Linked DNA regions of Caenorhabditis elegans. The protein of the gene in region 1 interacts with the protein of each later gene in a pairwise test. Each region holds a gene or a part of one and is shown in the gene's direction. Other genes may lie near its edges. The genes, in order: rsa-2, rsa-1, spd-5 and sys-1.

Region 1 (8,216 bases):
TCCTTAATATCTCTGCGAATTTCGAAAAAAAATTGAAAAGTTCTCTTAAAATTCCAAAAAATGGCAAAAAAATTGGAAATTTATCCTAAAAATCCCAAAAAAACTTGAAAAGTTCTCTTAAAAAATTCCAAAAAACCGAAAAATTTCTCTTAAAAATGCCAAAAAACCTTTTTAAAATCTTCAAAAAGTCCAAAAAAAAATTGAAAATTTATCTTAAAAATGCCAAAAAAACCGAAAAATTATCTTCAAAAAGTCCAGAACCAGAAAAAATTGGAAATTTGTCCTAAAAATCCCAAAAACTTGAAAAATTCTCTTAAAACCCCAAAAATAATCCAATTTGTTTCAGAGCCCATCACATTCGTCCCAAAGAAGAAATAAACGTCTAATGAATCAATCGAGAATTCTATCGTTGATTTTGTTTTTTTGTTTGTTATTAATTATAATTCCTCTCTCCAATCATAATCATCATCACCGCTCAATCATTTTTATATATGAATTGAAATATTTTTAGTTCTTCCTTCACTTTTGCCTTTTTTTTTTGTCCCATTGCTTTCCCCTCATTCAAAAATATTCAAATTTGACCCCTTCCATCCAATTCTGAAAATCTTTCCCCCACACAACAACTCTCTCTCCAAAAAACAAAAAATCTCTCTTCTCCTTACGTAATTCTGGTATAATTTCCCTGTTATCATGTGTTCCTCTTCGAAATGTTGCGAGTTTTTTTTCTTCCATTTTTTTGCCCCCAAGAATTCCCCAATTTTGTGAAATATTCCCCCTTTTCCCCCGGAAATTTTTAATTTAAAATTTGGCGATTTTAATCGAATTTTCAGGCAAAATTTGTTAGAAAATTGAGATTTTTGCGGATTTTACATTTTTTTTTTTTAGTTCATTTTCAGCTGAAATTATCAAAAATTTCGAGTTTTTAGCCAAAATTCACAAATTTTCATACGATCATCCACTATTTTCTAAGAAATTCTGAAATTTGGTAGATTTTATTTTTGAGTTTTTAGCCATTTTTCAACCAAAATTTGGGAATAATCTGCAAAAATCTGAATTTTCAAACAATTCTAATAAAATTTCAAGCTAAAATTATTAAAATTTTCCAACTTTTTTTCCTGAAAATTTCAAAAAATGTGATTTTTTTTCAAAAATTTCCCAAAATTTCAACAAATTCATTTTCAAAATGTTGAAAATGAAATATATATATATCGGGTCCCCCGTTCTCTGTTTAAGTCACAATTTTCATATCTCTCCCGATTTTTAAATATCTTTGTGATGTCTCACACACATAAGCCCCGCCCCCGTTTTTAAGCACCGCCCATTTCATTGCCTTTCTCCGCCCCCCGTTTTCTACAATTTTTCCCCGTTAAATTATACTCCGCCCCTTTCCTGCACACATTTCGACTTCAATATTCATATTATTATTATTTTCAATCCCAATTTTTTCTTTACTTAAAATTTTCGTGTTGACTCCGCCCCACCGCCCCCAAATTGTCTGTTTGTTTAGAAAAAGCCCCCGTTTATATGATTTTCCGCTTTGGAATAATAAAAGTGGACGTTTCTTTGTCTGGAAATTACAGAAAATTTTGAAATCGGATAAAAATTGCAGACCGCGCACGGAAAAGTGGGCATGTCCTACCGGTTGCAAGCGTGACGCGCGCATTTTTCGGAACTGAAATTTTTGCGAAATGTAGGAATCTCGGTTTTCGAGCGAGTTTTTATCGAATTTGGGTAATTAATAATAATAATTGGTTTCAAAAATGGTAAAAATCATTTTTAGTTTGAAAAATCTGATTTTTGACTTGAAACTGTTTAGAAGCTGTATATTTAATAATTTATCAATTTTATACTGATTTTTAAGGGTTTTCAAGTTTTTTTTCCCACTTTTCCGCTATTTTTGACCCGAGAATCCTGTAAAATCTGCAATTAATCAACAAAGAAACAGCAAAGAAAACCCTGCGTCTCCTCGTCTCCCCACACTCTCTCGCCGTCTGCATTTTCGCGTGACGGTGTTTGCACACACTGGCGTCGCCGCGAAAATATTCTTTAATTCAAACGCGAAATCAATTTTTCGCACTATTTTCCCCGCGTAATGTCGAAAATTCCTGTATTTAAGGGCAGTTTCAAGTCGTGGCTCGCAAAAAACGACGAAAAACCCGCGAAAAGTGTGCTCCTCGAGCCGAAATATCGCGATCACCACGAAAAAATAAGGTAAGCAGGGGGAAATTCCCCATGGCAACCATTTATTTATTTTCTGAGTTTCAGAAACAAGGAAAACATGGAGGAAGGCGAGAAGCCGGTTTTTGTATCAATGGGTAGGTTTTCTTTGGGAAAAAATTGGGGAAAAATGAGGAAAAATGGTTTTTTTGAAATTTTTTTGTTAATTTAAAAAATTTTTTAAATTTCCAGCAAACCCCCAACCAACACGAGAAGACTACGAACGTTACGACGAAGATCGTCGGCTTAAAGATAAAGCTCGTGATCTACGAATCGCCCGCCGCCGCAACTCCGCAACCCCAGAAGCCTCCCCGTCCAGCGATCAATACTTCACACCGGAGCCCGCCGATGACGAATTTGTCACTCCATCCACGTCGAAAAAGTCACAAAAGCCACGTAGCAGTGATGCGACGCCGGTGTCTTCAAAACCGCCAAGATATTGTAATTTTTTGAATTTCTTTCAAAAAAAAACCTAATTTTCATAATTTTCAGTGCCAAGAACCCCGTTATCAGAGCAATACACGTCTTGTCTGAGCCGGAAAATGGAGGAAAACTTTTCAAGAATGCAGGAGCTCATGATCTCCGGCCACTCACCCCATGAAGCCCGTCAGCAGACGATTCAGGAGAGCTCGGAGCAGCTGGAGCCCAGAGCCAAAGTGACACGTAGCTCATCCCAACCGCCACCGATTGACACTTTGAAGCCGCGTGTGCCACGTATTGAGTCGCCTTTGGTGAAAAAAACCACGGAAACACCGATTCGTCGCACCTCATATGTTGATACCCTCGTCGCGACGCATCAAATTCAGCTACAGTATTCGGATCGAGTTGTTGTTGGTGTTGAACGTCAAATGACAAAGCTGGAGAGCATCAAGGTACAGGAATTGGAAAATTTCTCGAAAAAATCAGTAAAACCCGATTTTTCCTGGGGGTTTCCGCCGAAAAATTGGATTTTTTTCGCCAATTTTGAATTAAAAATCCATATTTTTCGCTCGAAATTGTCAAAAAATGAAAAAAACATCTGTATAAATTCACATTTCCCACCGATCGCATAATGCAAGTGCGCTCTGATGCGAATTTGACATTGGAGCGCAGTTGCAACATGCGATCGGCGGGAAATTTTAATTTTTCACTCAATTCCCAGATTTTTGAGCAGAAATCACGTTTTTCTGTCAATTTTGAGCTGAAACTTACTGTAAATGCGCTCCAATGATAAATTAGCACCAGAGCGCAGTTGCAGCATGTGATCGACAGAAAATTGAATTTTTACACCGAAAGACTTTAAAATTCTAAAAAAATAAAATAAAAACACACACTTACAATTAAAAATTAATATTTCCTACCAAAAATTTGCTGAAATTTGAATTTGCGCGTAAAATCGGATGTTTGATCTACATAACCGTCGCCAAAGTTCTTACAGAATCTCGCGGCCGCTAATAGATCACCAATAATTGCTGAAGAGGCAAAAAAACGACGAAATGAAGCAGAGGCTGTACGGAAACTCATAGAAGTGGAGACGCAGAACGCAAAAAAACGGGCGGTCATTCAGGAATTAAAGGATCGAATTGATAAGCTTACTCAAGCACAATTGGCTATACATCAACTCGTTTCAAGGTAGAAATTCCAAGAAAAAATTTGATTTTTTTGCTCTTTAGGCTCCGCGCCCATATCTTGGCTTCTTAAGGTTTTTGTTTACAGCCAACCATTCTCCGGCGATCCGTACAATCAGCGGCTTTTGCGCTCCATCGACAACTGGATGGCGTTGCCGTTTCGCGAATTCGACATTCAAACCGCCCGTGAAATGCTGGAATTGGCGCGAAAAATGAAGATCACAATCGACCATTTTCGAAATGTCGCCACGTTGCACAGAAACAGCAAAAGTCTCAATCGATCACTTAACACGAGTCGAAAGAGCATAGCTGTTAAGGTAAATTAAGCCGTTTTTTGGCAAATTTCTTTTAAAAATCCGCCTATTTTAAGAGAATTTCAAATCGCTTAAAATAGGCGGATGAAACCCCGCCCCTTTATTGGCTAATTTCATAAAAATAGGCGGATCTTTTCAAGAAATCTCAAAAAATCTGATTTTTGTAGATCAATCCATCATCACAACTGAACCAACAATCATCGTCGGACGCAGCCCCGCCCCCTTCAATGAGAGAAGCATCGACACAAATGACGTCACGGCTCGCCGAGTCTGCAATGACTCAGACGAGTCCCCGAAGAATTGGTGTTGAACCGTTGGATCTTTCACAATTGTTGGAGAAACACAACTCGTCCTCGCAGACTACACCGCCTGTGGTTGAACCGGTGCTGGCCGAAGTTTCCGCCGAACCTCAGCGGCCACCAGTGACACTTTCGATGACGGCGCCCGTGTCGACGATTGCCGAGTTTGATAGTATGCTCAATAGCATTTCACTGCACAATGAGAGCCTGGAGACTGTCGCCGAGCCATTTTCCCGTCTGAAGACTGATATAAGCTTCCCGTCCACTGTGGAAGAGACGACGCCACGTAGTGGCCGAGTTTCTCTGGATTCAGAATCGGCGCGGCGACTTTCTGCAGGACTTTCGCACTATTTGGAGCAAGTTAAGAAGGAGAGAGAATCGATGGAAGCTCAGGAATCTGAATCTGAATCCATGGAATTGGAGATTCCCGTGGTGTCTGAGGTATCAGTCACTACAGAATCAGAGAATCTGGAGGAAGTGGTTTCCGAGCATTCTGATTCCAAATCCCCGGAAACTCTAGTCGCTTCAGACAACGGAGAAGACTCATCCGGTGGATCGGAGGACCCGAATGCTACACAATTTGAGCATGAAATTGAGGAGCACAAAGAGCCCGAAAAACTGGGCCTAATCATAGATCCGGAGGACGAGCAAGACGAGACGAAACGCTTTGTGAATCACGATGAATTCGAACAGAGCCTGGAGGAAGAGCTGGAGCCACGTGGCAATAATGATAGCGCTGACGATTCGGGATTCTTGCTTGACAACTCGCCGGCACCGCGGCTTAAATCGATTTTTGACAATTTGCCGCCGGCGGCGGCGTCGGCAGCAGTGACAGATACACCAAGAGTGCCGGCGGAAGCCGATGAAACGACGTTTGCTGGAATGGATATGGAGGAATATTGTCAGCGAGAGTTCTTGAAAGAGATTGTAAGTGTGTAAAAAAGAATGGGCCGAACCGGGGATTGAACCCGGGACCTCTCGCACCCAAAGCGAGAATCATACCACTAGACCATTCGGCCGCGAAACTTTGCTTCCCAGGAGGCAAAGACATGATGCACCATGTGTCAATTTCTGCGGAATTTGTTCAACAGAAATGTCTACACACCCAAGAAGCTTGGGAAACCGTGGCCGAATGGTCTAGTGGTATGATTCTCGCTTTGGGTGCGAGAGGTCCCGGGTTCAATCCCCGGTTCGGCCCATTCTTTTTTGTTTTCTCTTATTACATCTAAATGTTTAATTTCGCACTTTTTCAGAGCCCAATAATGGTTCAAAAGGCAATTGAGCTTCAGGACGAGCTCCGCGGAGTCGACTGGCTTACAGCGCAAGATGTTTGGCAGCCACCCTCATTTAAAGATGTTCAAATGGAGTTCGACGACAATTTCGAGTATTTCGACTCGTTTTCCATACTTATTTGGAGTGCGGTGGTGGATTTAATCAATAAAAACTACCTGAAATTTGGCCGAAAAATGACTGAAAATGAGGAAATCGCGTTTGAAGCGGAGGCGTTGAAAATGCTCCAAACCGAGCACGGACCCGAATCGAGAAAATCGGAATGGTGCACCGATGTGAAAATGAGCAAGAAACTTGAAGGAATGATGCCAATGGAGTTGGATTATCGATATGATGTACGCCGAGGTCTACCGGACGCCGAAAAACAAAAATATCAATGGCAACAAGTGCAGATGACAGTTATCGCCGCACGTTATGCGAATAAGAATTTGGTACGGAACGTGAAAATGTGAAAAATCTCACAAAATCTCACAAAATCTATACAAAAATCGGAAAAAAAAGCGACGAAAATTCAAAATTTCGGTGAAAAATTTTGGCGGGAAAATTCAATTTTTTTAAAGAAAATATAGCTTTTTTGTTTCAAGGTGGAGTGCTCCCAGTGGGGAAATTGCTTTAAAGCATGCCTATGGTACCACAATGACGGAATATCATGATAAAAAATTCAAAAAAAATTTCTAGATTTTATATGATTTTTTGAAAATTGAAAAAATCTCCGTTTTTGCCTAATTCCTTTTTGAATTTCCGCCAATTGGATTCATTCGGTGGAGCGCACTTGCATTATTTTTATTAATTTATTTTATTTTTTTCTCATTATTTCACTGATTTTCTTCATTTTTGGTGTATTTTTATCGGAAAGATAAAGATAAATGCAAATTGTTTGTTTAAAAAATCACTGAAAACGGGTAAAGCTTTAAAACTATGAGTTCTGACGACAACAAGCCTGAAATTAGCATGTTTCACAGTTTTACGCATTTTCAGTGATTTTTTAATGAGCAATTTGCAATTATCTTGCATTTTTCTTTGTCTTTCCGATAAAAATACACAAAAAATGAAGAAAATCAGTGAATTAATGAGAAAAATAAAATAAATTAATAAAAATAATGCAAGTGTGCTCCACCGAACGAATCCAATTGGCGGAAATTTAAAAAGGAATTAGGGGAAAACTGAGATTTTTCCAATTTTCAAAAAGTCATATAAAATCTAGAAAATTTTTTCGAATTTTTTTATCATGATATTTGGTCATTGTGACCCCATGGGCATGTTCTAAAGCAATTTCCCCACTGGGTGCACTCCCTTTAAAAAAGTTGCCTAATTTTTTTTTAATCAAAAATCGATTTTTCGTTAGTTTCAACCATTTTTCTCTCAGATCAACGAAGCCAACGAGGTATATGCGACGGAAAAGGAGAAGCTGGGACAAATGGTGCTGGAATCTGAAATCGACGCGACGGTCACCGATGTTTAGGCTTTTAATTAAATACTTTTTTCGCCTATTTATCACTATTATCGGCAATATCATTCATGGTCTCTACTATTCTACTAGCTATTTTATGAACTATTTTATTTATTGATTTTTATTTTCACACACACTTTTAAGGCGAAAAAGCGCTGAACATATACTGGAAAAATCGATATGCCGAAAAATTCCCAAAAAAAAACATTCACAGAAAATGACGGAAATCAATCGGAATTTGAAAATTATCGATGTGGGTTGCAACGCGACAATTCCGGCGGAGGATATTTTCGAGAAAATCGATAATTTCACGGAAATTCTCAGGAATTCAAATTGCCGCGCGATCACCGGCTCCGACGTGGTTTTCATATCGATTGAAAGAGGTCTCGACGCGATTGTTGCCGTTATTGCGTAGGTGGCAATCCGCCCACTCAGCCAGAAAAAATCGATTTTTCAGATGCCTCCGACTTGAGCTTGTGTTCACATTTTGCCCGCCGGCGAGCGATACTGATGACGTGGTGCGGAAGTTTCGAACGACGCTGGTTTTCAACGGAAAACATGTTAGTGCTACGTGGTGAAAAAATCGATAATTTAACAAAAATCAATAAATCCTCAAAAAATTCAATAATCTGACATTTCAGGTATCTAGGATCGCTCAAAACGATGAGAACGGACTTTTAGCGGCGGAGAGCATTTGCTACGTAATTCAAACTAGCGGGACTACTGGAGCTAAAAAACAAGTGGCAGTTCCAGTTGACTGTATTCGCAAGAATATTGAGCATTTTTGGTGAGGAACTCTCCGAAAATCGATAGCGATTATCGATTTTTATTCCAAAAAAATCGATAAAACAATAATTGATTTTTCGTTAATTTTATAATACTTTTCCAGTTCGCTCTTCAATCTAACATCATCGGATTCCATCCTTTTCTCAACTTCTCTTCATTTCGATCCTTCAATTGTTGAACTTTTCATGGCTTTTCACGTGGGATGTACATTAATCATTACACCTGATGAGTATCGAAGTGAACCTCACAAACT
Region 2 (4,807 bases), on another chromosome or scaffold:
CTCCATAGGTATTTCAAGTAAGATTTTTAGAACTCTTTTTATTCATTATTTTTCAGGCTTGCTCACAATCTAGCTCATATCATATCTCCAATCCTTCCGCATTTATCATCAGAAGTCCTCCAGCACCTTCCCGGATCCCATGAAAAACAAATTCTTCGCTTGAAATTTGAAGATCTTCATTATGGACTTCTCACTCCACATGATCAGCTTTCAAAGCACATGAAATTCGTATACGAAGTTCGAAATCTTTTAGAGTCAACTGCTGGTCCAAAGATTGATACTTCTAAAAAAGTACGTTTTCTAGAAAAAAACAGTACCAGATCAATTGAATTTATTTACAGGGAATTGTTCTTCAAGTGACACCAGAATACCACACAATTCTTCGCATTTACGAATCAGAGCTGCCAGAATTGTTAAATGTTTCACAAGTGATACTGCATGAAAATCGGGATGAAAATTCTGTTGAGCTCGTGGAAAGCCGGTTGCGATATTGTGAGAGATGCCGGAAGCACACTCGGAATGAAAGTGATGCTCTATGCGGAAGATGCTCAGATGCGATGGGACTTTCTCGTTAAATTAGATGATTTTTGTAGAACATTGTAATTTGATTTATTTTAGGAAAGTAAATGTTTTAATTTAGAGGCGCCACGTTTTCAAGATCTGTTCAAAAACAAGATTTACGAAAACAAGATCCACCAAAACAAGATCTACATTTTCAAGATCTACCAAAACAAGATCTACGTTTTCAAGATCTGGCACCGTGCCAACTGTGGTTTTCTCGAAGAAAACCAAACAACGATGCTCCGATGTTACGCGTCGCGTGTTGTTTAGCGTTCAAACGAATATTTTTTGAAATTTTCTTCTAGAATTTACGCTTAGCAACACGCGACGCGTAGAGAAAACCGCAGTTGGCACGGTGCCAGATCCTGAAAACGTAGATCTTGTTTTGGCGGATCTTGTTTTCGTAGATCTTGTTTTTGAACAGATCTTGAAAACGTGGTGCCTCTTAATTTATGTTTGCACATCAATTTCCCGAAACACCAACTTCTAGCAAGAAAAACTTGACGTCATGCTCGACTTGCTTCAAGCAAAAGAGGTCCTCAGATAGAAAACAGGATTTGATGTTGAAAATTTATTTTCCGATATAAATACATAACGTCTCAAAATTTATAAAGTGAGTGCAATGATTGTCAAACGTAAGGGGGATGGAACCCGGTGACAAATAATAAACGATTAGTTGTGGATGATTGTTTACATGATTAGATTGGTGTCAGAAGTACAGAAGGCTTCACTGCAACGCGTTGACGATGGTCGAATTGCGTTCACAAATGGAGTACAGCATATACGTGCACGGGTAGAAGTACGTGTATGATGCCGATTCCAGGGATGATGGTGATTTGTAGCTGGCAGCACAATTGGCGAGTGATGACCAACCGTTGAAGAGTGGCTTGTATGGTTTGATGAGCCAGTTGCTGAAAAAATTAAATTTAGAAGCAATCAATTGTTGTTGACAAAACCTACATTTTGGTTGGATTGAGAGCTCCTTCAGTCTGCCATCTTGGCAACTGCTCCAACTTCTCGTAATGGGTGAATCTGACAAGTCCGATCCACGAAAAGAAGGCTTCCTTGGCTTGAACACGAATTGCGTCCCACTCTTCAATCGAATTGGCCACGAACAGTGTTGACTGCTTCTCGAAGCAATTTCTCTCGGCCTTGGCGAATCCAAGAAGCTCCTTCTCGATCCAGTAGCACGAATCGGCGAACCGAAGCCATCCATCGGGACACTTCTCAGTCTGATTGACGAAGGCTGGCGGCTGTCGAGCTGGGAACGAGATGTCTTCGAATGCCGTTGTGCCGAGATCCTTGTAGTCCCAGTTGTAGAACGTCACTGAAATTTGTTACTTTTAACGAAAATTTAAAGATTTCAAAGAAACTTACGTCGTTGATGCGGCTGTTCGTCGTTTTGAACCAATGGTGATGTTTCTGGAGCTTCACCACTAGCTTCAGGAAGCTCGGTTGAAGAAGTCGGAGCTGCATGAACGAGGAATAGCCCAGGAAGGATGAAAGCAACGAGAAGGCAAAAACGCATGATGAGCAGTGAAGACTGAGGAAATGAACGTTTCGTTCTCCTTTTATGCACATTTTTGCCGCCGTTTCCTGAAATTTTCACAAATGCGCGCCGCTAATAGACAGAGATCAAATAATAATTTCAAAACAAATCAAGTCTAGAAATATCCTAAACTTCATTTCTGAACTGGTGTTATGAATTTGAAGCACGGATGATGGTTTAAATGTTCTGTAGCACACTGCAGATTTTCATTTATGAAAATATTTAACTTTTAAAAGGGCAAGATCTTGTTTTAAAAAATTGTAATTAATTTTGAAAATTATATTTTGAATAGCCGCCCTTGATATTAACAAAATATGCAGTGGAGCGCACTTAATGCGCCCATTTTCAACAGAAAATAACGCTCGAGATTCGAATTCAATTCTCTCCTCCCTTGCAATTTTCGTGTCACTATGCCAACCGACGAACCTTCGAAGCGAAAATCCATTTTACCAACGATTCCAACATCCCTGATGTTGAAGAAAAGTAACGAAGCATTGAGTGACTTCGAACGTGAGTTGGGTTCAGCGAAAATGTATTATTCAGCGGTATTATCTTTCAGGAACATTTAATGATCGAGTTATGGATATATTTGCCGAAAATCGAAGAATAGATGTAGAGGAGTTTAAAAAAAATGCCGAATGCTTTTTAAACATCATTCGATCGAACAAAATCGATTTAAATTGGGGTGAAGGGGGAGAAAGTAGATATGTGACGATAACTCGATTAATGGTAAGGTTCTCGGTGAATTCAATAATTAAGAATGTGCAATTATTCAGAAAATACTCAAAACTTCACCACAATCAATCAAAGATCTACTTCCACATAACACAGTGTCGAATTTCGTTAAAATAACCAATTATAATTTAACAATTGATATCACTCTTTTAGGTTTGTGCAAAGCAGGGAGTTCTTATTATAAAGAATTTGAATTTCAGAGGAGCTTGTACGAACAGTCATTCACGCTGAGGAGTCCTACATCAAACTTCTTCCATTTTCAGAAAATAGCACAGAGATTTCCAGTTATGTAAGTATCTTATTTCTACTCTAAAAGCTATTATCCTGACACTATTTTCAGAGTCTCCAAGACTTTGTGGCCACACATTTTATTCCAATTATGATTGAAGAACCGGAAAATCCTGTCTATTATACAGCTTACGCAGTTGGAACAATATTTTTCCTATTGGGTGCTCGACGGCGAGACTGTGTATATTTGAAGGATTTACTTGCTTCAACACTTCTACTACAACTCGAAGAGTGTATTCATGCAGAGAATCATTGCTTATCACCTCCGAAAATTGATGTGTATGATTTATCAGTGCCATAAATTGCTTCAAAAAGTCTTTTTTCAGATTCACCGTCGCTCAATTTCGAACCACTTTATCAGAATTCCGATTCCTTGACTCCCAACGAAAGGGATTGTTGGCGCCAGCGGACTTGAAATTTTTCAGAGAGTATGAAGAAATTATTTTTCAGTCTATAAATCCTATTTTTCAGCGGAATCTTCAATGAGGTTTTCACCAAGCGAATCTTCGAAATTTCAATAACCTATGAAGATGGACGTATTGATTTCAAAGCGTTCGTTGATTTTGTCACCGCTCTAAAGTTCCGTCATGTAAGCGATTTTTTAATCAGAACCAAAAAATTGTTCTAAAAAATAAATTTCCAGACCACTGCCTCCGCCAAATACCATTTCGAAATTCTGGATCTAAAGGATGATGGACTGTTGGATGAGGAAGAAATTCGATCAATAGTGAGTAAAACTCTCCAAGAACACTTTCTCATCGCTTAAAAGTCATCATTTCAGCTTCAAAACCTGCCAGATTACGTCCCGGAAGATAATAGTGTGAACCCGGAAGTAGCAACTGCCGAACTGAGAGATATGATGCGTCTGAATCAGAATGGAATTACATTGGAAGAGTTTCTTGCTAATCGGATGAACTCGACGTTTGCTGGATTCCTCTCCAATTCCGATGATTACATGAAGTACGAACGACGCGAGCAATAGCAGTCCCGCTAATTTTATTTTTAAAACTATTCTAACCACTCATTTCGGCCTGCAAGGGTAATAAACAGCTTTTGGACCAAACATTTTATGGATGAGACAAGAGGGAGAAAAACGGAAACATAACAAGTTATATTTGAAGTAACAAAAGTATACAAAACATTTGTTTTGGATCAACTCAGGATTATAAATTTAAAGGGGAAACAAAAAGGAAAGCAACAGACAACAGATAAAAAACGAAGTGTAGACGGGGGTGAGAAACAATTTTGGAAACAAATTAACTTAAGGATAAAGTTAAGAAACTAATCGTCAGAGTCAGAGAACTTGATAGAATTAATAGATTGGTTGATTGGACCACCTCCGTAGCTTCCCTTCTTCTTCTTAGTTTTCTCATGACGGAATGCTTTTCCAACAACTTTTCCTAGGCTTTCATTGGCACGCTGTCCCCATTGATCGAAGTGCTGAAAATAAATCGAGTTAAACTTTGTTCGTAGTCGCTATATGTTTACCGAATCATGCTGGTTGTTTCTAAATTTTTCAGAAACGCTATCCTTTGTCATTTGCACGCGTCGGAATGGTGAAGACTTTCTTTTTCGGTTTTCATAGACCGCCTTTTCAGTCGAGGTAGCCAATGGTTTTGCCTTCAAAGCCGGTGTTCTTGAACTGCTCTCCTCGGTCTCGGCGGATTCTTCAGA
Region 3 (8,099 bases), on another chromosome or scaffold:
CATTTTCTATTTAGCCACCTGGACAGCACGGAAAACAATATCAAATGGATAGATATCTGTATCAAAAACCACATCAATCAGTGTTTCTATGCTTGAATCTGCCGAGAGGTTATATGGGCGCTCAATTGCAGGTTCCACTTCATCCGTATTGCCGATCGGTTCTTCTTTGGTAGTGGCAGGCGAAGTGAACTGACGAACGGAATGCCAATCGAAATCTGTGAAAACTCGTCCCTTTTTCCATTGGATAGCAAATGAGATCCGTTTCATCGAATAGGTTTTCTTTGCAGATGAACTTTTGAAAAGAGCAGAAAGTGAAAATAGTGCAGCTGTGAGAGGATTATACAATTCCCTGAAACAATTTTATATTTAGACAAGAAAAAAACCCATTTTATAACAACGATTCTTACCCATCTTGTGTCTCATCAAGACTTTCCGATTCCTTTGATGGGAAATAGTTTTGAATAAGCTCGAGATCAACAAGTCGTTCATCAACGGACATCGATGTTTCGAACATTTGTAGATGTTGAATTTGATCATTTGAAACTTTGAGAATATGAACTCTCATCCCGACGCTTTTTCCCGAAACTGCCAAATCACATCCAACAATCAGAAGAATATCCACATCGAATGAATAAGCTCTGATAGAATATACAGTTTCAGTTGGTTCCATTGGAGACTTTTCTTCCTCGAAGTCTGCAGATTCTAGATCTCGATTCAAAGATTTTCCGTCTGAAGCAAAGTAGTTATTCAAGTCAATAGTGCTTGGCAATTGTTTTTTCGTCTCAACATTCCATGCTTGCACCCATCCGTCTCTGGTAACAGCGAACACAATATCGGATTGGACTGAAATTTTTCGCTCTCTCGTGACTCCAGAAGTCGGGCGAAGATTCTTCATAACACATGCATCACTGACTCGTTTATCAGTGCCACCTAGAAGTTTTCCCAGAAGACCAACTTCTCCCATTGTGAATTCTTCGTGTTTATCACTGGATTCCGTGTATGATCCCAATGTGACAATGACCAACTGCCCTTCAGCGGTACAGTAAGAAATCTGAATTCAAAATTCGAAATATAGGTTGTAATCAATTTCCATTTTTATACCGTATTTCTTGAAGGATGATGTGTAACACTTGCACGAATCGGGCGCCCTGGTGTTGAAAGGGAGTGAGATGTTCTGAATCGGCGGAAATCGTCATCTTCTTTAATTCTTGCAAGAATTGAGAACGTCTGAAAATAATTATTCTCATTCGATTATGGAAATTTTTGAGAACAAACATCATGGCCTTTGGAGTGGAGTCTCGCGTAGAAACGATGAATTGCAGAAGCTGTGGGAACGACAATACATAAAACCCCTTCCTCGAAAATTGTTATCGATGTTCCAGGAATAATAGGTGTGCGTGTGAAGTCAATGCACAACGATCCATCCGTGATTGAGTAGAGCAAAGAACGCTCCTCAATGAACAGTTTCTGGCCAATCGCACGCCACAGGAAAATCCGATCGCCGTAATTTGAGCAGTGCGGAAATGTTGCAACTCCTGCGGACGGTTGCACATCAAATCCATTCGAATGAAGCGGCGCATCTAAAAAAGTGAAATTTGTTGTAGAAACAATTATTTAATGAAATTGAAACTTACTGGTGTTTACCACAAAAGTTCTAGCCGGCTTTATAGCAAATCCATCCGTGAAGCTGATTTCCGACCCGTAAACCAGCTCCATCTGAAATTAAGCATAAAACACGATGTTAAAGCAAAAGAGAAATATGGAGATGAAATAAACACGTTCAAAAATATTTAAATATCGTTAAAAACAATTTTTCATTGGCGTGAACTTGTTTTACTTGTTTTTTATACGTTTTTTTATACGTGAAAAAATGGAAGAAAACAATTCACTTTAAATTTTAATCACTTATCGAGAAGGTTCTCATTGGATTCAAAGAAAAACTTGTTAGAAATTTGTGAGTTTTTACAATAAGCTTCATATTTTGACACTTTGCGATGTAAAATTTTACAAAACAATGATGAATTGAGCCGAAAACGCCTCCATATGGAGCTCCATTCGAATTCAAAAATAAGGGGCGTGGCTGCATGAGCAATACCGCCGCATGGTATTTCGCAACATGCGCACACTTTTTCTCTGTCAAGAAAAACGAGGCCCCACGAAAAGGGGATCTGCAAAAAGGGGATCTGCGAAAAGGGGAGATACGAAAAGGGGAGATACGAAAAGGGGAGCAACGAAAAGGGGATCTGGCACTGTGCCAAACGCTATTTTTCTCGAAGAAAACGATACAACGATTGTCGCGAATACGCAGAATACTGAGTCATCAACAATGACAAAGCCGGGAAACTCCTGTTTGAAAGCCGCGCCAAAAGACACACACGTCACGCGTGTTACAGTACTACCACACATGCACATCAAACCCCAACACGTCGACACCACGCAAGGAAATCGTCACTTCTTCGTTTTACTCTTGGACCGGCAGGTCGCATGTTAAATATATGAGCTTTCTCATTTTTATCATTTAACGGATTTATCAGTAATAAATTATATAATTCTACCACTTTTGAACCTATACCGATCCGAAACATGGTGCATCGGCTCCGATGTTACGCGTCGCGTGTTGTTAAGCGTATCTTCTAGAAGAAAATTTCAAAAATCAACGTGCGTTGCGTGAGAAAAATTGCGTTTTGTGCGTTTGGCACAGTGCCAGCTCCCCTTTTCGTTGCTCCCCTTTTCGTATCTCCCCTTTTTGCAGATCCCCTTTTCGTTCTGCTCCCCTTTTCGTGGGGCCTCAGAAAAACGCGCGCCTAAACGTGAATTTTGAATTTTCTCCGCGTCCGCGAAATTCTTACGTTTCCATAGTAACAAAAGTTGGTCCGCACTTGTTTTTCATGATTATGCACGCCCAAAGAACGGTGCTGAAGCTTCAAATTTTGCAACCTCCTGTTCATTTTGACTCAAAACTCTTAATCCCAAAAAAACGCTCAATTTTGTTTTCGAACCCGTTTCTTGTTTCAGAAAACTTCGCGTTAAATGGAGGATAATTCTGTGCTCAACGAGGACTCCAATCTCGAGCATGTCGAGGGTAATTATAACATTTAAAATCAATAACTGCATAAATGCAAAGGTTTTTTAGGCCAGCCACGAAGATCTATGTCGCAACCAGTTCTGAATGTTGAAGGAGACAAAAGAACGTCTTCGACCAGTGCCACTCAACAGCAAGTATTGTCAGGAGCATTTTCGTCTGCTGATGTTCGTAGCATCCCCATCATCCAAACATGGGAAGAAAACAAAGCGCTTAAAACAAAAATAACTATCCTGAGAGTAAGTAATTTATCATATGCTTATTTAGAAATGATTTGAGTTTGTAGGGAGAACTGCAAATGTATCAGCGCCGGTATAGTGAGGCAAAGGAAGCGTCGCAGAAGAGAGTTAAGGAAGTTATGGACGATTATGTCGATCTCAAATTAGGCCAAGAAAATGTTCAAGAGAAAATGGAGCAATACAAACTGATGGAAGAGGATTTGCTAGCAATGCAATCGAGAATTGAAACTTCCGAAGACAATTTTGCCAGACAGATGAAAGAATTTGAGGCACAAAAGCATGCAATGGAGGAAAGAATCAAGGAACTGGAATTGTCCGCTACTGATGCAAACAACACAACTGTCGGATCTTTTCGTGGAACTCTTGATGACATTCTGAAGAAAAACGATCCAGATTTCACATTAACCTCTGGTTATGAAGAAAGAAAGATCAACGACCTGGAGGCAAAGCTCCTCTCTGAGATCGACAAGGTAGCTGAGCTGGAAGATCACATTCAGCAGCTCCGTCAAGAACTTGACGACCAATCTGCAAGGCTTGCCGATTCAGAAAATGTTCGCGCTCAGCTTGAAGCGGCCACTGGACAAGGAATCCTCGGAGCTGCTGGAAACGCTATGGTTCCAAATTCAACGTTCATGATCGGGAACGGTCGTGAATCACAGACGCGAGACCAGCTCAATTACATTGATGATCTTGAAACGAAGTTAGCTGATGCGAAGAAGGAAAATGATAAGGCTCGTCAGGCACTCGTTGAATACATGAACAAGTGTAGCAAGCTTGAGCACGAGATTCGAACCATGGTTAAAAATTCGACATTTGATTCTTCTTCCATGTTGCTTGGTGGTCAGACATCCGACGAGCTTAAAATCCAAATAGGAAAGGTGAACGGTGAATTGAATGTGTTGAGAGCTGAAAATCGAGAACTCCGCATTCGTTGTGATCAATTGACCGGAGGCGATGGAAATCTTAGCATTTCACTGGGACAAAGTCGACTGATGGCTGGTATTGCGACTAATGATGTCGATAGCATTGGACAAGGAAATGAGACTGGCGGAACATCGATGCGCATTCTTCCCAGAGAAAGTCAATTAGATGATCTTGAAGAAAGCAAATTGCCGCTCATGGATACATCATCTGCTGTTCGAAATGTAAGTGTATGAAAATTATTATTTAAAATAAAGTCTTGAATATTTAGCAGCAACAATTTGCCTCCATGTGGGAAGATTTCGAGTCAGTGAAAGACAGCCTGCAGAACAACCATAATGACACCCTTGAAGGTAGTAAAATTGATTCCTAGATTTTTTGAAATTGATTATTGTTAGGTTCCTTCAATTCGTCAATGCCACCACCTGGTAGAGATGCAACTCAATCGTTCCTCAGTCAGAAGTCTTTCAAGAATTCTCCGATTGTAATGCAGAAACCAAAATCACTTCATCTTCACCTGAAGAGCCATCAATCCGAGGGAGCTGGCGAACAAATACAGAATAATTCGTTTTCTACGAAGACTGCTTCTCCTCACGTGTCACAAAGTCACATTCCAATTCTGCACGATATGCAACAAATTCTGGATTCTTCTGCAATGTTCCTTGAAGGCCAGCATGATGTAGCTGTAAATGTTGAGCAAATGCAAGAGAAAATGTCCCAGATCAGAGAGGCTCTTGCTCGACTTTTCGAAAGACTTAAATCTTCTGCTGCTCTTTTTGAAGAGATTCTTGAAAGGGTATGAAAACTGTCAAGTTGTGAATCTGTAAATCTGAGTTTTTTGTAGATGGGATCCAGTGATCCAAATGCGGATAAGATCAAGAAAATGAAGCTCGCATTTGAAACAAGTATTAACGACAAGCTCAATGTATCTGCCATCTTGGAAGCAGCGGAGAAGGATCTTCATAATATGTCACTCAATTTCTCAATTCTCGAGAAGTCGATAGTTAGTCAGGCTGCGGAAGCTTCGAGAAGATTCACTATTGCACCCGATGCTGAAGGTAATATAAATTTTAGAGACGCTCATAAATCAATATTTTCCAGATGTCGCCTCATCTTCTCTTCTCAATGCCTCGTATAGTCCACTCTTCAAGTTTACAAGCAATTCAGACATAGTGGAAAAGCTTCAGAATGAGGTATCGGAGTTGAAAAATGAATTGGAGATGGCTCGTACACGAGATATGAGATCTCCATTGAACGGTTCGTCTGGAAGATTGTCGGATGTGCAGATCAACACCAATCGCATGTTTGAAGATCTCGAAGTATCTGAAGCAACGCTACAAAAGGCTAAAGAGGAAAATTCTACATTGAAAAGTCAATTTGCTGAACTCGAAGCCAATCTCCATCAAGTTAATTCTAAGCTTGGAGAAGTGCGATGCGAGCTCAATGAAGCGTTGGCTCGTGTGGATGGTGAACAGGAGACTCGTGTCAAAGCTGAAAATGCATTGGAAGAGGCTCGTCAGCTCATCAGTTCTCTAAAACATGAGGAAAATGAGCTCAAGAAAACCATTACTGATATGGGGATGCGATTGAATGAAGCAAAGAAGAGCGATGAATTCTTGAAAAGCGAGTTATCTACCGCGCTGGAGGAAGAAAAAAAATCCCAAAATCTAGCAGATGAGTTGAGTGAAGAATTGAATGGGTGGAGAATGAGAACAAAAGAGGCGGAAAATAAAGTTGAACATGCTTCATCCGAGAAATCTGAAATGCTTGAAAGAATTGTTCATTTGGAGACTGAGATGGAGAAGTTGTCGACTTCAGAAATTGCGGCCGACTATTGTTCTACGAAGATGACAGAAAGAAAGAAGGAAATTGAGTTGGCGAAGTATCGCGAAGATTTTGAGAATGCCGCTATTGTAGGATTGGAACGTATCAGTAAGGAGATATCTGAGCTAACCAAGAAGACTTTGAAAGCCAAGATTATCCCAAGGTATTATCAAACGTCGTGCTTGTTTTTTTTTATTTGAGAACATTTTCAGCAACATCTCATCGATTCAACTCGTTTGCGATGAACTCTGTCGTCGTCTTTCCAGGGAACGAGAGCAACAGCATGAATACGCGAAAGTTATGAGAGACGTCAATGAAAAAATTGAAAAGCTTCAATTAGAGAAAGATGCTCTCGAACATGAGCTGAAAATGATGAGCTCTAATAACGAGAATGTCCCACCAGTTGGAACATCGGTCAGTGGCATGCCTACTAAAACATCGAATCAAAAGTGTGCTCAACCTCGTAAGTCATACTTATGCACATCAGAAGTTGAATTTTCACCAATTCTCCAGATTACACGAGCCCTACTCGACAATTGCTCCACGAATCAACTATGGCTGTCGACGCAATTGTTCAGAAACTCAAGAAGACTCACAATATGTCAGGAATGGGTCCAGAGCTTAAGGAGACGATTGGCAACGTCATCAATGAATCCAGAGTTCTTCGCGATTTCCTCCATCAGAAGCTCATTCTATTCAAAGGAATCGATATGTCCAATTGGAAGAACGAGACCGTCGATCAACTGATCACAGATCTCGGACAATTGCATCAGGATAACTTGATGCTTGAGGAGCAAATCAAGAAGTACAAAAAGGAACTGAAACTGACAAAATCCGCCATCCCGGTATGAAATTCTTTTTCTATTGAAATCTATTTTGAAAAATATCATTTTCAGACACTTGGTGTCGAATTTCAAGACAGAATCAAAACGGAAATTGGCAAAATCGCAACTGATATGGGAGGAGCTGTGAAGGAAATTCGCAAAAAGTGAACTGATCTGTTAATGTATTAAAATGGAACCAGTTTTATCAACACTATCATCTCGACAAGATTAACTTGTAACGATTGTATTGTTTTCCCAGCCTAAAGATACACCTAATGCATCTATCAATGTACTTGTGAATTAAATGCTTCTTTTCTGGTAGTTGACTGCAATCCCATTACAGATAATAAAAGGAACAGATTAATTTAATGAAAAAACAGCGGACAATCTTACAATAATACAAACAGTTGAGATAAATAAGACAAATTTCGATGGAAGATTTATACAATGACATTGATCAGCTTTCCTCTTCATCCTCTTCGAAGATATTGTGAAGGTGATAAGCTTGACTTTCTGTAAAATTAAGGCGTTTTGTAAATTCAAGAAATTGTGAATACCTTACTTCTGTTTTTCAAGTCTTCCTTTTCGGTAATAGCCGACAAATTAAGGGAGAATGTGACATCGCTTGGATCTGCGTCTTCTCGTGATCGAATCGGAGTTGAACAATGACGTCCTGCACCAAGCTTACTTTCATCGAAAATCAACGGAGTCACTCCGCGTGACAGTGGATCATTTTCAGTGTTACCAGATGAACTTGTTGGCACATTTTCCTCTTCCTCGTCAACAGATTTCCGTTTTCGATTAGAATTCTCTTTCACGACTGGTGGCTCTGTTGACTGACCCCGACGACTACGACGCAAAGTGACGTTGGCCGAAATATTGACTTCCTTTTCCGGGGATTCTTCAAGAAAATAAATTATTTAAAACACATTTTTTCTTGTGTGAAAGCGTGGTCAATAAAATACAGCAAATTGAACAATGAAATCAGGAAAAATAACTTACTGTTGACAATTTTCGGCTTCTTCCATATTTTTCCATCAGCATCCACAGACTCTTCATCATCGTAATTTGGCGTTTTTCTACGACGAGCTGGAATAATTTTTGAATTCAGACGTTTTTTTTAGTATTGTTTATTGTTTTCGACGATTATGCATTGTAGTTTTTTTCAATCAAAAGTGAGCGAAAAGCCTGTCGTTAACTAACAAATTA
Region 4 (7,661 bases), on another chromosome or scaffold:
CTCTCCGCCCATCTGTTCATGCTCCAAGTGCTCATAAGGACATAGTGGAGGGTAATTACGATTTATTGTTTGAATTTGAAAAGGATCAAGTGAAAAGAACAAAAGTGAAATGATTTATATGTGAAAATATTGAATTAATTTATGATATCTAAAGTTTCAAGCTTAATGTATAGTTATTTTACGATCGATCATAACTTTTTAAAAATTACGATCATATTGAATATATTACTTGGAAGAAGAATTTTTGGTATGTAGTGTTTTTAATTTAGCTGTCAAAAAATTGATAATCTGCTAAGTATGTGAGCTTGCATTTAATAAAATTTTGTTTTCAACTTAGAATTCGTTTTAATTTTAATTTTCAGTGACGTCTGTAATCCTATAAACTAAGTCCCTCCTCCTACTTCTCCACAATCCAGGTGCACTATTTGATAACCCACTTGTAATTCTAGTACTACCTTATGGTCCCTTATGTCACATTGTTTGACAAAGTATATTTGTATAGGTTTCATGTGTATTGCTTGTTTTTTTGTACGGTTTTCTCAGAGAAATTATATTATTTTTTAACTCATAGTAATTAATTTTAGGCGAGATACCGAAAATTCGCAATGTCATCAGTTGCATCTATTTTTGCACCTGTTTTTCGAAATTTTTGAATCGTAGTGATATTTAGTAGAGCCAACTAATAAAACTCGTAGAACGACGTTGCCAGCTGTCCAATGACATTCGGTGTCCATTTCGTTGAAAACATTCAGTTTTCTTTCGAATTGATGATTGAAATCTTGTTTACACATTATTATTATTATTATACAACTCTGTTGACAATTCAACTTACACCCAATTACCATCTCAACTACTGAATAATTACACTTAAACCTATTCAATCACGGAGATACCATCTTCTAGAAGACTTCAGTTGGTGACAACCGTGGGAGGATAAGGTGCAATCCACGTGTCATGCTGCGAAACAATTAGTCTCTAATTAAGAAACTGTGCCCTTTTATTCCATGTTTTTTGTTCTAAATTAAATACAGTAGTTTGTTTCTTGCAAAAATCTACTAGTTTAAAGAGAGGAGGCGCGTTAATGCGCAAGGGTCTCGCCACGCGAAACCCATTTTGTGTATGCACCTTTAAGTTTACGGTAATTTCGTGTTCGCAGTTTCTTTTTTTCCGTGTTTCTTCTTGCACATTTCCATATTTAGCTAACAGAAGTTTTCGTATTTCAACAAAAATTTTAGAAATCTCATTTTGAAAATGAAACATGTCTTAAGCATTAACGATCACCAATAAAACATCAAGTTGTATGGGTTTCCAGGGAATTTTTCAATTTTTTCATTATTTCGAACAAAAAAATTGCATATTCGTTGATTGATATGTTCCTTATTCATTATGCCTATTAAATCAAATTATTCCAATCGAGAATTTGAATTCGTTTTTGAATATTTCTTTAAACATCTTTCCAGGCATGATGTATTACATAATAAAATAGAAAGTAGGTTGTTATTTAGGTTGGTAGGATAGTAGGCCACCACCAGCTCATCTCCTTCACCCATTTTTCACCCCGTACATCACCATTCTCTGCGTCTCATTCAATCACACACAACATCACTTACCAATCTGCGTCTCGTTATTCTTCCTACTATTTATTTGTCTGACCCTCGACAAGTGTCCCATACAGTCTGTCTACGGTTGCCTTCGTTCTCTCTCTCTTCTACATTCATCCGCATGCGTACACCCTCTCTGGTTAGACAGTGAGAGAGCACGTGTATAGTGCTCAAAAAGAGGAGAGTGCAGGCCGTGCGACGGTTGGAAAATGGTGGGTAACGAAAGAATTCAAATGTTGAGACGATTCTGCAGGAAAACGGCCCATTTTTTGATGTTTTCTCTTCCGTTTTCCCGCCTACTTTTAGTTTTTTATTCTTATTTTCCTATTTTTCATAATCCGCAATCATCATATCACCTTTAAAATATAAAAATCACATTTTGAATTATCGATTTTTCAGGCAGACTGTCATCTGGAAAACTGAGTGCACCGGACCTGAATGCATTCAACCGGAGAGCCTCAACGAGGGCCCGCCGGCCCATATCATCATCCGATGCCATATCATGTTGATCAGGTAAGCTTGAAAAACTTCAAAGAAGCGTTTTGCTTCAAAATATCCAAAATTGTCTTAAATTCAGAAAAATCACAAAAAAACAACGAAAAAAAGCGAAAAAGAATGAAAAGACAAGCTTCTAAAATTGCAATTTTCATCTTTTGCCATTTTGGGGGAAATTCAAACAGAGAATTCTGCCAAAATTGAAAATCGCGCTTTTAAAAGTTGAATTTTTCATCCTTTCTGCGATTTTTTTTTCAGTTTTCTTTGTAGTTTTTCGGAAATGAAGACTTAATTCTTATTTTCAGATTCCAACAACATCTCATCCTTCATGGCATCAAGCTCCCCATCCTGGCCTTCCAACACCTCCATATCATCCTCAACAACATCCTAACTATATCTCAATGCAACCTCCTCCTTCCCAACAGCAACAGATGACTCCTCAAGCATTGTCGACGCAACAACAGCAGCAGGTTCAACAACAACAGCAGAGGTGAGTACTATAAGAAAGATTATTATCTAAAGAGACACACCTCATATTGATTGGTGGCTGCGCCCCCCGTCCGTCCGTGGTGTGACAGGCGATATTAGAAAGTTGGGAGACGACGGAAGTGGGAGAGTAAAAACGAGGCTAACGAGCGTTTTCTTGATGGGTGGTGGTTGTACAAGAAAAATGACTGTTTTTTTTTTCGATTTCAATGCCAAATTTCTTTTCCGAGTGCTATTGACATTCGATTTTTAGATTAATTTTAAATGTTATCTGGTAAAAAGTAGATTTTTTGCCTAAATATCACGATAGTAGGTCTTGAAGCGATCAATTAAAAAAAAAGGTGCGCGCCTCTAAGGAGTACTGTAGTTTCCAAATCTTCGTAATTGAAGGATTTCTTTCAAAACTTCTTACACTCAAAATAATAAAACTGCGTGGCGTGTACTGCAGAAAACCTAATATTTAGGCCCCGCCTTTTAATCGTCCACTCACGGGGAAAAGACAAAAATAGGGGAGGGGGGGACAGCTCGCCACGCCAACAGTGAGAAAAATAGTGTGGTGCGCGGACCTCGAATGATGTCGGCGGCTGATATTGCCTGGGGTACCGCTTTTTGCGTTTTCCCCGTGAGTGGACGATTAAAAGGCGGGGCCTAAATATTAGGTTTTCTGCAGTACACGCCACGCAGTTTTATTATTTTGAGTGTAGGTTCTCATCTGTTTCTTTAAATTTGCACCTTTGAGGATTACTGTATTTTCGAACTTCCTTCGCTGCGGAATTTCATAGATTTTTCACACTTTTTTAATAAAATATATAATTATTCACTAAAAACCTAAAATAAAACAATAAAAACATATACATTCGTGAAAAAACCATGAAAAATCGATGGTAAATCTGCGTCAACGAACGTTTAAAATTACTGTACTCCTTAAAGGCGCACGCCTTTTTGCAACAAAAAATAACAACATTTTGCAGATTGGTTTTATAATTAATTTAATAAAATATGATATACCTAAAAACTTTCTATGTTTTATTTCAGGCAACTATACTCGTCACCGTCACCTTCACGAGGTCCAGCGGCTCCCGCACAGAATCAAAAATTTCGGACAGAACAATGGATCAACAATCAAGCATGGCCATATTCTCAATCTCCTGCTCCACCAGTTGCTCCATCAGTTATGTCATATCATCAAGGAGACGATCGAATGTCAATGCTCAGTGTGAATACAACCATGACAAATCAATTTCCCGATTCTCAGCGATGCTACTCATCAAATGGTTCAACATGTGAAAATGTGAATCCTGAAATGATGCAAATGAATATAACACAAGCGGCTGAACAAGCAATTAGGGTTTGTAATTGAAAAATCAATAATGAATCTTGATAAAGTTCAATTTCAGCTATGGTTTAATACACCAGATCCCATGCAAAGACTTCATATGGCAAAAACAATACGAACTTGGATACGACAAGATAAATTTGCACAAGTTGATCAGGCAAATATGCCGGTGAGTTTTCCAAAAATGTTGGAATTCTTTTTACAAAATCTGTAATTTTTTTCAGAACTGCGTACAACAAATCCTTAACATAATTTACGATGGTCTGAAACCTCAACCAGTTCAACTTCCAATTTCATATTATGTAAGTCTCAACACAAATTACAGATTTCAAATCATATTTTTTCAGGCTCAACTCTGGTATAATCTGTTGGATATTCTTCGAAGATTCACATTTCTACCCATTATTTCACCATATATTCATCAAGTTGTTCAAATGTTTTGTCCTCGAGAGAATGGTCCACAAGATTTTCGAGAATTGATTTGCAATTTGATTTCGTTAAATTGGCAAAAAGATCCTCACATGAAACACTGCGCAAATCAGGTGTTTCAAATTTTCAACTGTATCATAATGGGAGTGAAAAACGAGAAATTGAGAACAGAATTCGCTCAACATTTGAAATTCGAAAAACTCGTTGGCACTCTCTCCGAGTACTTTAATCCTCAAGTACACCCGGGAATGATAAATCCAGCAATTTTCATCATTTTTCGATTTATTATTAGCAAGGATACTCGATTGAAAGATTACTTCATATGGAACAATAATCCACATGATCAACCTCCTCCGCCAACAGGATTAATTATAAAATTGAATGCTGTAATGATCGGATCGTATCGATTGATTGCAGGCCAAAATCCTGAAACATTACCTCAAAATCCAGAATTGTAAGTTTAAAAATGAAAAATTCCTCCATCACTAACAAGTTATATTAATTTTCCAGAGCTCATCTTATCCAAGTTATAATCCGAACATTTGATCTTCTGGGTCTTCTCCTTCATGATTCCGATGCAATTGATGGATTCGTACGGTCTGATGGAGTTGGAGCAATTACTACTGTAGTACAGTATCCAAACAATGATTTGATAAGAGCTGGATGTAAGCTCTTACTTCAGGTCTCTGATGCAAAAGCCTTGGCGAAGACTCCATTGGAGAATATATTACCATTCGTAAGTTTTACGTTTAGAAAATCACTGGACTATTAGAAAATTATTTATGTGTTCTTTTACTTTAAAAAATTATACTAGATGCCCCAAACCTATCTAATTCCATAGTGATACTTCACTTTTGTAAGAAGTTTCATTATTAAATTCGGTCGTTTCAGGCTAGTTTTAGTCTATTCAAATTAAAAAAAAACTTCTCTCCCTTCAAATAAACTGTTTAAAACCGGAAATTTTCAGTTACTGAGACTCATCGAAATTCATCCGGATGATGAAGTTATCTATAGTGGAACAGGATTTCTGAGTAACGTAGTGGCTCATAAACAACACGTAAAAGATATTGCTATACGATCCAATGCAATTTTCCTACTTCACACGATAATCTCAAAGTATCCACGACTAGATGAACTTACCGATGCTCCGAAAAGAAATCGAGTTTGTGAAATTATTTGCAATTGTCTGCGTACATTGAACAATTTCCTGATGATGTGGATTCCAACGCCCAATGGAGAAACGAAAACGGCTGGACCGAATGAAAAGCAGCAGGTCTGCAAATTCATCGAAATTGTACGTTTTGGAATTTGAAAAACGATATAAAAATGAATTAAATTATTTCAGGATATTCTGAAAAAACTGATGAGTTGTTTATCATGTGAAGGAATGGATACACCTGGTTTATTGGAACTTCGAAGTACAATTCTCCGATCTTTTATACTGTTACTCCGAACACCATTTGTTCCAAAAGACGGTGTTCTGAATGTTATTGATGAAAATCGGAAGGAAAATTTAATAGGACACATTTGTGCCGCCTATTCATGGGTTTTTCGTCAACCGAACAATACAAGAACTCAATCCACAAAGCAGCAACTTGTTGAACGTACCATAAGTTTATTGCTTGTGCTCATGGAGCAATGTGGAGCTGAAAAAGAGGTGGCACAGTACTCGTATTCAATTGATTGCCCATTAAATCTGCTGAACGGAAATCAAGTGAAACCAACGTTTATTCACAATGTGCTTGTTGTATGTGACAAGATTTTGGAGCACTGCCCGACGCGTGCGGATATTTGGACGATTGACAGGCCGATGTTGGAAGGACTGACGAATCATAGAAATTCAGATATAGGTATGTGTCTCGAAAATGTGTTCATAAATTAAATTACAATGCATTTTTTCAGCTAAAGCCGCGAATTCTCTGCTGAGTCGCTTCCCTGAAAACGACCTTCTTGCTGGTATTTTTTCAAATCGAGAATATTTCTGATTTAATGGATAAATCTGTCAACTCCATCTTTCATCCCAAAAATCCCCGTTCAAAGCCATTAATTCGTCTAGTTGGAAGCTGTTTTAGCGTGTACATAGTCGTATTATTGATTAAAATATGTTCTCTCTTCTTTTCTTCATTTTCTACCGGTCCCAAATTTCCTCATTCTTGACGATTTCATATGAATTCGAGTTTAGAACAAACAAAACGTTCCGATTTTCCTAATTTATAGCACATTTCTTCTCATTTTGCCCTCGGTTTATCTCTTTCTTTTTGTTGTTTCTTTGTTTACGTCTGTAGCATAATATTTTTGAATACAAAACATTTTCGCGATTATCTTTGCATTTTAACTATCAAATTCCTGTCTTATATACGTCTTTCTTCGATGTTCTTACGTTGAATAGAAAATAAAATTATAAAACTTTTTAAATGTTGGATTGATTTACTGAATACTCGGTTCATATATAAGTTATTTAGAGACTATTCTCGTTCTGTAAAATTAACCTGAAATTGTGGAATTGTGATTAAATAATAAATTATTATTTAAATCTCCGCGCAAATGCCCACTGGCGCAAGTGGCGAGTGCTGACGCATCTCCCGTGCACGCGAAACGCGCCAGTAAGGTCTTGCAACGATTTTCTTATGTTCCACTTCCACTTAAATTTATTTCAGCTAAATATTGACCCATTAGCTGTTTTTTGAATTGTTTTCAAAGGGAAAATCGTTTTATTCATTTTAAATTTTAAATAATATTGGAATTTCTGTCTAATTGTGTATCTACTGCTTGTTTGCTTCTTGTTTTGGGATTTCATAATGTCAATTTTGTTTCAGCAATGTCTCGCTTCTTCCATGCTAAGGAGGACTCTGATTCCGACACTTCGTCCAGCGAGGATGAGGTAGAGGATCAAAAAGTGAACAAAAGCGCGAAATTTCGGTAATTATAATCTCCAAAGTAATTCCAAAAGATTGATTAATCTTTCAGCGATGATCTCGATTTCATGGCCGGTCCTGAAGAAGATGAGAAGCGTGTTGTTCGTGCCCAAAAGGACAAAAAATTCGATGAGCTGAAAGGAATTATCAAGCAAAATCGAGATGCAAAGAGCAACAAAGATCTGAACAGACTTCTAACAGGTTTTGATTCTCTGGCCAAAGCTTATGATAAGTCCAAGACGGTCTTTCAACGTCAGAATGTCGCAAATCCAAGATTTTACATAAGGTGAGATATATTTTTAATTTACAGTCACATCATAAAATAAAATGCTAATGAAAACTTAGTAGTTGATATAAAATATTTCAGGTCTCTTGTGGAAATCGAAGACTACGTAAATA

The links.
Region 2: the proteins of rsa-2 (region 1) and rsa-1 interact in binary tests that used the Caenorhabditis elegans proteins (3 or more experiments, as listed by UniProt).
Region 3: the proteins of rsa-2 (region 1) and spd-5 interact in a two-hybrid assay, tested with the Caenorhabditis elegans proteins (2 studies listed by BioGRID).
Region 4: the proteins of rsa-2 (region 1) and sys-1 interact in a two-hybrid assay, tested with the Caenorhabditis elegans proteins (one study listed by BioGRID).

Annotation. Positions count from the first base shown.
Region 1 is NC_003281.10:11,061,464-11,069,679, forward strand, and holds rsa-2 (Regulator of spindle assembly protein 2), read left to right. Parts: upstream 1-2,015; 5' UTR 2,016-2,092; coding exon 2,093-2,211; intron 2,212-2,265; coding exon 2,266-2,315; intron 2,316-2,409; coding exon 2,410-2,658; intron 2,659-2,709; coding exon 2,710-3,089; intron 3,090-3,625; coding exon 3,626-3,828; intron 3,829-3,912; coding exon 3,913-4,141; intron 4,142-4,305; coding exon 4,306-5,364; intron 5,365-5,374; exon of another isoform or gene 5,375-5,462; intron 5,463-5,563; exon of another isoform or gene 5,564-5,635; intron 5,636-5,690; coding exon 5,691-6,158; intron 6,159-7,093; coding exon 7,094-7,189; 3' UTR 7,190-7,296; downstream 7,297-8,216. Other genes in the region: spat-2 (Protein lilliputian), read left to right, coding at 347-378; W09D6.1 (AMP-dependent synthetase/ligase domain-containing protein), read left to right, coding at 7,395-7,588, 7,635-7,737, 7,819-7,964, 8,067-8,216. UniProt on the Caenorhabditis elegans protein: Recruits rsa-1 and, thereby, phosphatase let-92/paa-1 complex to the centrosomes. Recruits sys-1/beta-catenin to mitotic centrosomes during the first embryonic cell divisions.
Region 2 is NC_003279.8:10,183,358-10,188,164, forward strand, and holds rsa-1 (Serine/threonine-protein phosphatase 2A regulatory subunit rsa-1), read left to right. Parts: upstream 1-2,498; 5' UTR 2,499-2,520; coding exon 2,521-2,620; intron 2,621-2,669; coding exon 2,670-2,839; intron 2,840-2,886; coding exon 2,887-2,998; intron 2,999-3,045; coding exon 3,046-3,134; intron 3,135-3,185; coding exon 3,186-3,412; intron 3,413-3,459; coding exon 3,460-3,561; intron 3,562-3,604; coding exon 3,605-3,722; intron 3,723-3,776; coding exon 3,777-3,860; intron 3,861-3,902; coding exon 3,903-4,115; 3' UTR 4,116-4,193; downstream 4,194-4,807. Other genes in the region: iars-2 (isoleucine--tRNA ligase), read left to right, coding at 1-8, 57-291, 342-575; clec-87 (C-type lectin domain-containing protein 87), read right to left, coding at 1,289-1,472, 1,522-1,888, 1,939-2,089; Nucleolar protein dao-5, read right to left, coding at 4,415-4,573, 4,622-4,807. UniProt on the Caenorhabditis elegans protein: Regulatory subunit of phosphatase let-92 which recruits let-92/paa-1 complex to the centrosomes, thereby regulating microtubule outgrowth from centrosomes and mitotic spindle assembly ensuring the stability of kinetochore microtubules.
Region 3 is NC_003279.8:5,170,453-5,178,551, reverse strand, and holds spd-5 (Spindle-defective protein 5), read left to right. Parts: upstream 1-1,897; 5' UTR 1,898-1,954; intron 1,955-3,015; 5' UTR 3,016-3,030; coding exon 3,031-3,082; intron 3,083-3,133; coding exon 3,134-3,321; intron 3,322-3,368; coding exon 3,369-4,466; intron 4,467-4,513; coding exon 4,514-4,595; intron 4,596-4,640; coding exon 4,641-5,038; intron 5,039-5,086; coding exon 5,087-5,300; intron 5,301-5,343; coding exon 5,344-6,229; intron 6,230-6,278; coding exon 6,279-6,529; intron 6,530-6,579; coding exon 6,580-6,911; intron 6,912-6,962; coding exon 6,963-7,058; 3' UTR 7,059-7,250; downstream 7,251-8,099. Other genes in the region: npp-6 (NUP160 middle TPR domain-containing protein), read right to left, coding at 19-349, 408-1,051, 1,102-1,227, 1,276-1,580, 1,635-1,716; Condensin-2 complex subunit hcp-6, read right to left, coding at 7,251-7,403, 7,448-7,791, 7,893-7,979. UniProt on the Caenorhabditis elegans protein: Plays a central role in centrosome maturation and mitotic spindle assembly during the first division of the zygote. Required for the centrosomal localization of air-1 and zyg-9. Probably not required in late embryogenesis and during larval development.
Region 4 is NC_003279.8:9,979,165-9,986,825, reverse strand, and holds sys-1 (Beta-catenin homolog sys-1), read left to right. Parts: upstream 1-2,031; 5' UTR 2,032-2,039; coding exon 2,040-2,114; intron 2,115-2,401; coding exon 2,402-2,586; intron 2,587-3,617; coding exon 3,618-3,930; intron 3,931-3,968; coding exon of another isoform or gene 3,969-3,979; coding exon 3,980-4,087; intron 4,088-4,142; coding exon 4,143-4,220; intron 4,221-4,265; coding exon 4,266-4,801; intron 4,802-4,857; coding exon 4,858-5,083; intron 5,084-5,314; coding exon 5,315-5,641; intron 5,642-5,692; coding exon 5,693-6,197; intron 6,198-6,249; coding exon 6,250-6,332; 3' UTR 6,333-6,763; downstream 6,764-7,661. Other genes in the region: eif-3.C (Eukaryotic translation initiation factor 3 subunit C), read left to right, coding at 7,166-7,266, 7,315-7,548, 7,630-7,661. UniProt on the Caenorhabditis elegans protein: Transcription coregulator. Part of the Wnt signaling asymmetry pathway, probably acting downstream of putative frizzled ligand mom-2, Wnt/frizzled receptors lin-17 and mom-5, and dishevelled homolog dsh-2.